Xenopus tropicalis: one gene and its partner. The main gene of each other region encodes a partner of the protein of the gene in region 2 in a complex. Links are inferred from orthologs where the notes say so. Each region holds a gene or a part of one and is shown on either strand. Other genes may lie near its edges.

The links.
Region 1: med4 (region 2) and med20 share a complex: the UniProt entries of both Homo sapiens proteins name them as parts of the mediator complex. The link is inferred for Xenopus tropicalis from reciprocal best matches to the Homo sapiens genes MED4 and MED20.

What each region holds. Positions count from the first base shown.
Region 1 is NC_030678.2:70,762,762-70,766,960, reverse strand, and holds the start of med20 (mediator of RNA polymerase II transcription subunit 20), read right to left. Parts: upstream 2,827-4,199; 5' UTR 2,731-2,826; coding exon 2,717-2,730; intron 78-2,716; exon of another isoform or gene 1-77. Other genes in the region: bysl (bystin), read left to right, coding at 2,895-3,153. UniProt on the Homo sapiens protein: Component of the Mediator complex, a coactivator involved in the regulated transcription of nearly all RNA polymerase II-dependent genes.
Region 2 is NC_030678.2:134,878,361-134,882,418, forward strand, and holds the start of med4 (mediator of RNA polymerase II transcription subunit 4), read right to left. Parts: upstream 2,815-4,058; 5' UTR 2,814-2,814; coding exon 2,743-2,813; intron 2,673-2,742; exon of another isoform or gene 2,639-2,672; coding exon of another isoform or gene 2,523-2,638; intron 1-2,522. UniProt on the Homo sapiens protein: Component of the Mediator complex, a coactivator involved in the regulated transcription of nearly all RNA polymerase II-dependent genes.

The DNA.
Region 1 (4,199 bases), about 64 Mb from region 2:
GAAGTTTGTCCTTTAATTGGCTAATGTCAACTAACACGTATGTGTGCTGTGGCTTGTTTGTGTGCACTTTGAATCCTATGATCCCAGGAGGCGGCCCTTAATTCTTAAAATGGCAAATTTCTATTTAGGAATACCCAATAGCAAATACTACTTTAAAAGTATATTTTTATGAAAATGGTTTATTTAGATGAAGCAGGCTTTTACATATTAGCTTGTTTAAGCAATATATTTTAATAGAGACCTACATTGTTTGGGGGTATAGTTTTCCTTTAAAGAGCCCCACATAACACAAAAACCCCTACTATACCTATCACTGTAATCTGTTCCTTAAAAACATATGAATACCATTTGTATATGCTAAAATCCACATGCAAAACAGTTCTTTTCTTTCCCGTTTGCATTCCTATGGCAGTCCACACACGACTCTGTGAAGACAGGGAATATGTAGTTGATTCCAGAGGACTTGGTTGTCCAGTCAAAGGAAAATGGAAGCATTTTGGTTAGCTCTCAAGGCATTTTTCCCATTGGAGATAATTTTTCAAAGAGCTGAAAGGCAAGGCAGAAATAATCCTCTGCAACAACAGCACAGCAGTCCAGTATGTGGACAGGGTGGCACGAAGAGCAATTCTCTTATCTTGAAAATTGTTCCTGTGGGCAGAGGTAAATTTCCGGTCTATAACAGCAGTCTTTACTCCAGGGAAAAACAAGTTTTTTAGATTTCTTGAACCACAGCATCTTTCAGGAGATCGATCAGAGATGCGGGCCAAGAGCAATGGATTTGATGGCAACCTCCTACAATGCCCAAATACTAAGTTATCAGAACTATATTCCAGGAAAATTTCCACAAGAAAAAGCTACCATCAGGTATGGGAAGTGTTTTTCAAGTAGTGTGAAAGTAAGGACTATAATCTGCCTATGTCCTGAGGTTAACCACATTCTGGAATTTTTGCAAAGTGGAGTGGATGAGAGACAAGTAACGCCATTATCAGTACCTAATGAAACTAAATGGGCTACAAATCCTCTGATAGTTCAGTTTCTTCAAGGTTCACATCATATCAATCCAGAAAAAGTGTTCGACGATTGGATTTACCTTTGGTTCTCATAAGTCTCATGAAAGAATCATTTCAACCTATTCAGGACATTCCTTAAAATTAACAAATTGTGTTTTTGTTGGCCATAACCTTGGCCAGAAGAGTGTCCAAACTCCAGGAACTATATATTTCAGAAGATTTGTTAATATTTTAGGAAGATAAATTTGCTTGTCCGCAGAATGATAAAGAAATCTGTTGGCACAACCTTGATGTCTTAAAGGAACAGTAACACCAAGAAATGAAAGTGTTCTAAAGTAATTGAAATATAATGTACTGTTGCCCTGCAATGGTAAAACTGGGGTGTTTGCTTCAGGAACACTACTATAGTTTATAAAAATACGCTGCTGTGTAGCCATGGGGGCAGCCATTCAAGCAGGAAAAAAGGAGAAAAGGCACAGGTTACATAGCAGATAACAGATAAGACACCATTGTATTCTACAGGGTTTATCTGTTAGCTGCTATATAACCTGTGCCTTTTCTTCTTTTGAATGGCTGCCCCCATGTCTACACAGCAGGGTTTATATAAACTCTAGTAATGTTTCTGAAGCAAACACACAACTTTTACCAGTGCAGGGCAGCAGTACATTATAGTTTAATTTCTTTAAAATATATACATTTTTGGTGTTACTGTTCCTTTAAGATGACTCTAAAGAGGGCAAAGAAGTTAAGAAAAACAAAATCTCTCTTCATATTACCAGTGCAGCTAAGCAAACACTGGCATGTATATTGTAAGATGTATCCAGTATGGCAGCATCATGGGCACTCAAAGGTTTAGCGTCACCAGAAAAGATTTTCAAAGCAGCAATTTGGAGGTGTCCTAATATTTTTGTGAAGCATTAAAAAATGTTTCTGCTTCTGCAGATTTTGAATAAAAAAGTAAAGTATTTTGCAGCATTTGGTATGTGTATGTTCCCTCCCAATTGTGCGGACTGCCATGAGAATGTGAACAGGAAAAGAGAAAATCTATATCCAATTTACTGTGATTTTCTTTTCCTGGAGCATTCCAATGCATTGTGGGTTATGTACAATGGTGGCATTTGGAGGATGCAGGCTGAAGGCAATCATACAGCAATAGGAAGTATGGTTGCTGCCTAGGCAAAAAAAGAAATCATGGCTATTGTTAATGTTATTTATAAGAAAGGAAGATAAACATAAGACAGATATATTTTGGTATAGTATATCAGTCTTCCTATATTCATAACTTTATACCCTATTAATAACATTGGCATCCAGCACATTTTTTTTTTTACCAGCAACGCTATTGGGGGTTCAAAATTATCATTAAAAAATTCTATTATTCCTTAACAAAGGCAAAAAAAAATCCTGAAAATAAGAGGCAGAATACATTTTCAACAGGTTATATTTACAGTGTTGATTTTTAAAAAAGGATATCTTTTAACTGTCTCCCTATTACCCATAGCATTCTTAGTGTGATACTGCACTGCAGTGTTGAATTCGTAGGATTCCGTTTTTCTATAATTAACAAAGCAGCAGTCATGCAAATAAGTAAGCGTAAACTTAGTTTACAAAAGATAAAAACAATCCAGAAGTTAACACGTATCTGCAAACATCAAAATGACGTTTCTTCTTTTTCTACTACTACATTAAAAATGACAAACACTTACCAAGTCACTCCCATGCTGGTACTTAATTGTACAAAACACAGCGACGTGTTATGACGTCACGGCGCTCAAAATTGTTGTCATTATTTGCGGTTCACGCAAGTCCCACATCGAGGCGTACGATGCCAGGGGAATAGGAGCATGCGCAGTGTGTGGATCTATGCACGTGTATGTCAGGAAAATGCCAAAGCACAAAAATTCTCGGGGAGCTGCTTCTCGCTTACTCCCCTTAGCTGATCAGATCGAACAGGAGGGAGAAATTAGACCCTCGTTCCGTAATAAGCGCAAGGGGAAACCTACAGACGACGCCGAAGATGATGGATACGTGGACGAGAAATTGTCCCGAAGGATTCTGGAGCAGGCCCGTATTCAGCAGGAGGAATTGGAGGCCGAATATAGTCTGGGGAATGTGACCCCTAAAGAGAGGACAACTGTTTTAGGTAAAAAAGGGTAAAGAAACATTTCCAAGGCAGAATACAAAACAAAAGTTTTTAAACCGGTATATAAAATCAGTGGGGAGTCTTTAGACTGAGTCATAACCAACAACTAGTGCTGTAGTTGTAAATACATAGAAACGAGTATGGGACAGTCTTAATAATCCATTAATGTAATCCATTTAGGGCCAGATTATATTGAAATTTTGCCATGCAAAAAAAGTCTACTGGGGGCCAAAGAAATGCTCAAATGCTCATTAGCTGGTTCAAATTGAACATTCCAGGTATATAATATGATACAGTCATACACATATAAGAATATTTGAAAAGTTGTACATAAATAATTTGCTAACTTCATTCTGTGATAAAATGAAGGATATCTAATGTGCTGTTTTATATGCTGATGCATCTCCATGCAAACACATGTGCAGTATGAAGCAAGGAGGGAAAGGAAGGGAGAATACCTTTTTAGAGATGGCTGCCTGTTCTAGAATATGTGAAGTAAGTGTGACTGAGTAAATATTTGATTAGGTGAGCCAAAAGTGTGGCATTTTTACTAAACAATAGGAGGACTATTGGGCAGTATGCTTTTTAAATTTTGACTTGCATTCTCCTTTAATGATTATACTCCACATAGCATATATACTTTAGTGTATATGTTATAAAAGACCGGAATCATGTGTGCAAAAATGGATTGTACACTGCACCTTCATCTTAATTTTTAAGATTTGATTTTATCAAAAATGTTTTTAGGACCCTTTTTAAATTAAAGGTACCATACAGGCAGTGCTGCTTTCTAGTTCTATTTAGCCATGACAAGGTACAGTATGCTCAGTTATACTAGCTGTAATTAGAACAAAAAGTGTGTAATATAGCCTAACATGCACTAAATGTATTCAGACTGTGACCCTTAACTCGCATTACAAATATTTCATGTTCTCTTGGGCCTACCCTGGGAATTGTTTGGAACCGGTGCTCCACAGAAACAGACCTTGTAGCATTCACTAAGTACAGTCTGAATTAACTTATTTACAAATTAGAGGTCATTATTT
Region 2 (4,058 bases):
AGTTTGGATAGTGTTTATGCACATTTTTTACATAACCCAACTAAATGACTTCATGTCCAAAATAGGGGAAGAAACCAGGGGTAAACCTGCCAGTTTCCAGTCATAAAAAGACCCCAAATATAAGAGGATCTAACAGCCAGACAAAATATTTGACTTCCAAAATTGTGGTTTCCTGTGTCAAATGATAGCTTAAAGAAGAATGAAAGTTAAAAATCACTGGGGGTGCCAAATGTTAAGCAGCACCCAGTGATGATAATCACTTGCCTGATACCATGGGCTGGTGCTCCTGTGTGTGAAAAACTGTTCTGGCCTGAGGTCTGATATCTGTAGGAGCACCACATCATCATCTTCCATTTCTTCGTCCTTCTTGTTGGCCCCTGGCCAGTGCACATGCACAGTACAGTGACAAGCTGTTTTGTTGTTTCACTGAGCTTTTCACTCTGCCATGTATGCGCACCCAAACCAGGGCTCAAGAGAAGTATGAAGCAAAATAAGGTGGCAACAAATAAGCTCCTACAGAAGAACCCCAGGCCTCAGGTAAGCAATTACTACTGCAACAGCTAAGCTGCTCATGCATGCTCTCATCCTATCCCGACTTGACTACTGTAACCTGCTACTAACCACCTCCCTAACTCCCATCTTTCCCCCTATAGTCTATATCAGTGATCCCCAACCAGTGGCTCAGGGGCAACATGTTGCTCACCAACCTCTTGGATGTTGCTCTCAGTGCCCCCAAAGCAGGTAGTTATTTTTTTTAATTGTGTTGCTCTCCAAGTCTTTTTACATTTGACTGTGGCTCACGAGTAAGAAAGGTTGGGTCTGGTCTATATTAAAGGAAAACGAAAGGCAAAATCACTTGGGGGTGCCAAAATGTAAGGCACCCCCAAGTGACTTTAACTGCTTACCTCGTACCCCGGGCTGGTGCCCCTGTTAGAAGAAAACAGCACCAGCCCGGGGTACCTGGAGCGGATCGCTTCCTTCTTCCTGCTTCCGTTGCTGAAATGCCAGCGGTGGGCGCATGCGCAGTAGAGTGAAAAGCCGACTTTAATGTTTAAGTTCAGCTTTTCACTCTACTGCGCATGCGCGCGCAGCGAATCAGGAAGAAGGAAGCGCCGGCAGCTACCCCGGGCTGGTGCTGTTCCCTCCTCACAGGGGCACCAGCCCGGGGTAAAAGGTAGGTGGTCAAAGTCACTTGGGAGTGCCTAACATTTTGGTGACTTTGACTTTCTTTTTCCTTTAAATACTGCTGCCAGAATTCTCCTCCTCTCATCCAGGAGAGTTCAGGCCCTTCCCCTGCTAAAGTCCTTATCGTGGCTTCCTATTAAACAAAGAATATCTTACAAACTCCTTCTCTTAACCCTCAATTCCTCTGCTCCTTACTACATCTCTTCTCTTGTGTCTCCCTACGTTCCTGGCCGACTCCTTCATTGCTCGCAGAGCAACCGCTTTGTTGCACCCCCCACTACTACTGCAGTTTCCTGCCTTAAACCTTTCTGCCTTGCTGCTCCTTACATTTGGAATGCCCTCCCTGATTTCCTCGGGAGAGAATCCTCCCCCAGTCTTTTCAAAGATAAATTTAAAGACTACCTCTTGGAGCACTCACCCAGCACCTGATCTGGGAACTAGCACTTATATTGTCACCCACTGTAACCTACAGCACTTATAGTTAAAAATACCCTCCTATATAGATAGTAAGCTCTACGGGGCAGGGACCTCCATACTTTTGTGTCTTTGGCTCTTAACTTATTGCAACTGTATCTTGTATTTATTTGTATATATTGTTATCCTTTGAATTTCTGTTATTATCTTAATAACCCCGTTTGTATTAATGTAAATAAAGATATACATACATACATTATAATAACATCAGGGTGCCTACAATTTTGGCACCCCCGGTGAATATACTTTTACTTCTCCTTTAAAAGAGTTCAATAGCCAAGTATAAAATGTAGTTGCCCTGAAGAGCCACACTCCCCCTTCCTGTACCACATCAATGAACTCTTCTAATACAGCCCTGTCTGCTTTTCCAAAAACACAGAGTAGCGCAGTGGAGCTAGTGTACACCAAACTGCTGTGTAGCTTACCATACAATGACAGAATTGCAACATGAGTCAATGTATTTTTTATAAAGTGTCATTTTTCCTTGTGGTGCATTACAGTGTATCCCATGTTTCCCACAATGACTGATATAACGCTGAAGCAATAGCAACAGGTCTTACTTTGCCATTTGACTAAAGGAAAGGGGGGTTTGAAGAAGGCAATTCCTCAGCACCTTGAGGAGCAAGGGGCTCTAATAAAACAGTCGGAAACCAGGGGTGGTGCCACCCTAAAAGAAACCTGAAGGAAGATCAGACAAGTATTCATGCGCCAAACCACATCCATATGTATCACTGTGCGCCACTGCTATTCCCCATGGGATGGCCTGTCCCCACCCACCGTTATACATCAACCGGGGCCCTTTACAGATATTATTCTGGCCCACTGTGCAGTAAGAACAGCAGGAAGGACAAACCCCAACTTACAGGGCTTTTAGGTGGCCAGATAATAGGGCAACGCTCTGTAAGCGCACAGCGCTATTATAACAAAGAATCCCGCACAGTGGAATTCCGAACTTCATTGCTCGTAAGGTGCCAAGCATTTGGCTCTGCAGCTGCTGGAAAGCCACGCAAGAAACAATATTGGCTCCAAAGTATTAGGTGCAGTCCCGAGAAATAAAATGCCCGTGTCGCATAACGCCCTCACCTAGACAGCACTTCCAAGTCGTCCAGGAAAGACATCAGCCTTTCCTTCGTGCTCTTCTCCGGAACAGCCATGTCTGCGGATGGAAGAGAGGCGGGGCTAACGAGCAGTTCCGGGAAGGAATCAAGAGAAACAAGTATCTGTCGAAAAGCGCAGACGTTTTTCACAGCGCCATCTAGAGTAATTTAATGGAACTTAGCGATCCTACTCACATAACTAGCAAATGCCAGTTGGGCAGTGATGTAGATGTCGGCTGCGGCAAATTCACTGAACTGGGGCCTATGGGTGGAGGCTGGAGAACCCCCCCCCCTCACCTGGTGATGAGCTTTCAGTCATATTCACATTGGTGCCATTCACAAACCTACTCATGGTCCTCAGCCAAACAAACGGCCATGATCACAGCATTTGGCCAAAGCATGTCTAGACATGGTGGCAGGACATATTGGGACACTCACATTTCTTGTTTTCCAGCATTTCATGGATGGCACAGTGCGGTCCCCTTAACAAACAAAAGTACTATTTAATGCACTGGTAAACAAAACGTGAGCATTTCTTCCATGAGATTCAGGAGAATACAAATTCACACATTTGTCTCTTAGGGGAACTGAGACTGGCAGCTTAAAGGGCAATTTCACCCTTTTCACCAAAATGTCTCTGAACACCTCAGAATTCATTTGTCTGCTTCTGTCCTGTTTCACATCATCAATAAACACTAGTGTCCCAGTGCCACCGACAGACGTGCACGCCCAAGCCATCACACTGCCTCCACCTTGTTTTACATATGATGAGGTATGCTTTGGATAATGAGCTGTTCCACGCCTTCTCCATACTTTTTTATTGCCATCATTCTGGTATAATTTGATCTTGGTTTCATCTGTCCAAAGAATGTTTTTTCAGAACTGTGCTTTTTTAGATGTTCTTTAGCAAAATCCAATCTAGCCTTTCTATTCTTGAGGCTTAGGAGAGGCATGCACCTGCAGTGCACCCTCTGTATTCACTTTCATGCAGTCTTCTCTTTATGGCAGACTTGGATATCGATACACCTACCCCCTGGAGAGTGTTGTTCACCTGGTTGGATGTTGTGAAGGGGTTTCTCTTCACCCTGGAAATGATTCTACGGTCATCCACCACTGTTGTTTTCTGTGGACGTCCAGGTCTTTTTGTCCAGGTCTTTTTTTCACCAATGGTTGCGTTCTTTCTCAGGATGTACCAAACTGTAGATTTTGCCACTCCTAATATTGTAACAATTTCTCGGATGGGTTTTTTCTGTTTTCGCAGCTTAAGGATGGATTCTTTCACTGGCACGGAGAGCTCCTTTG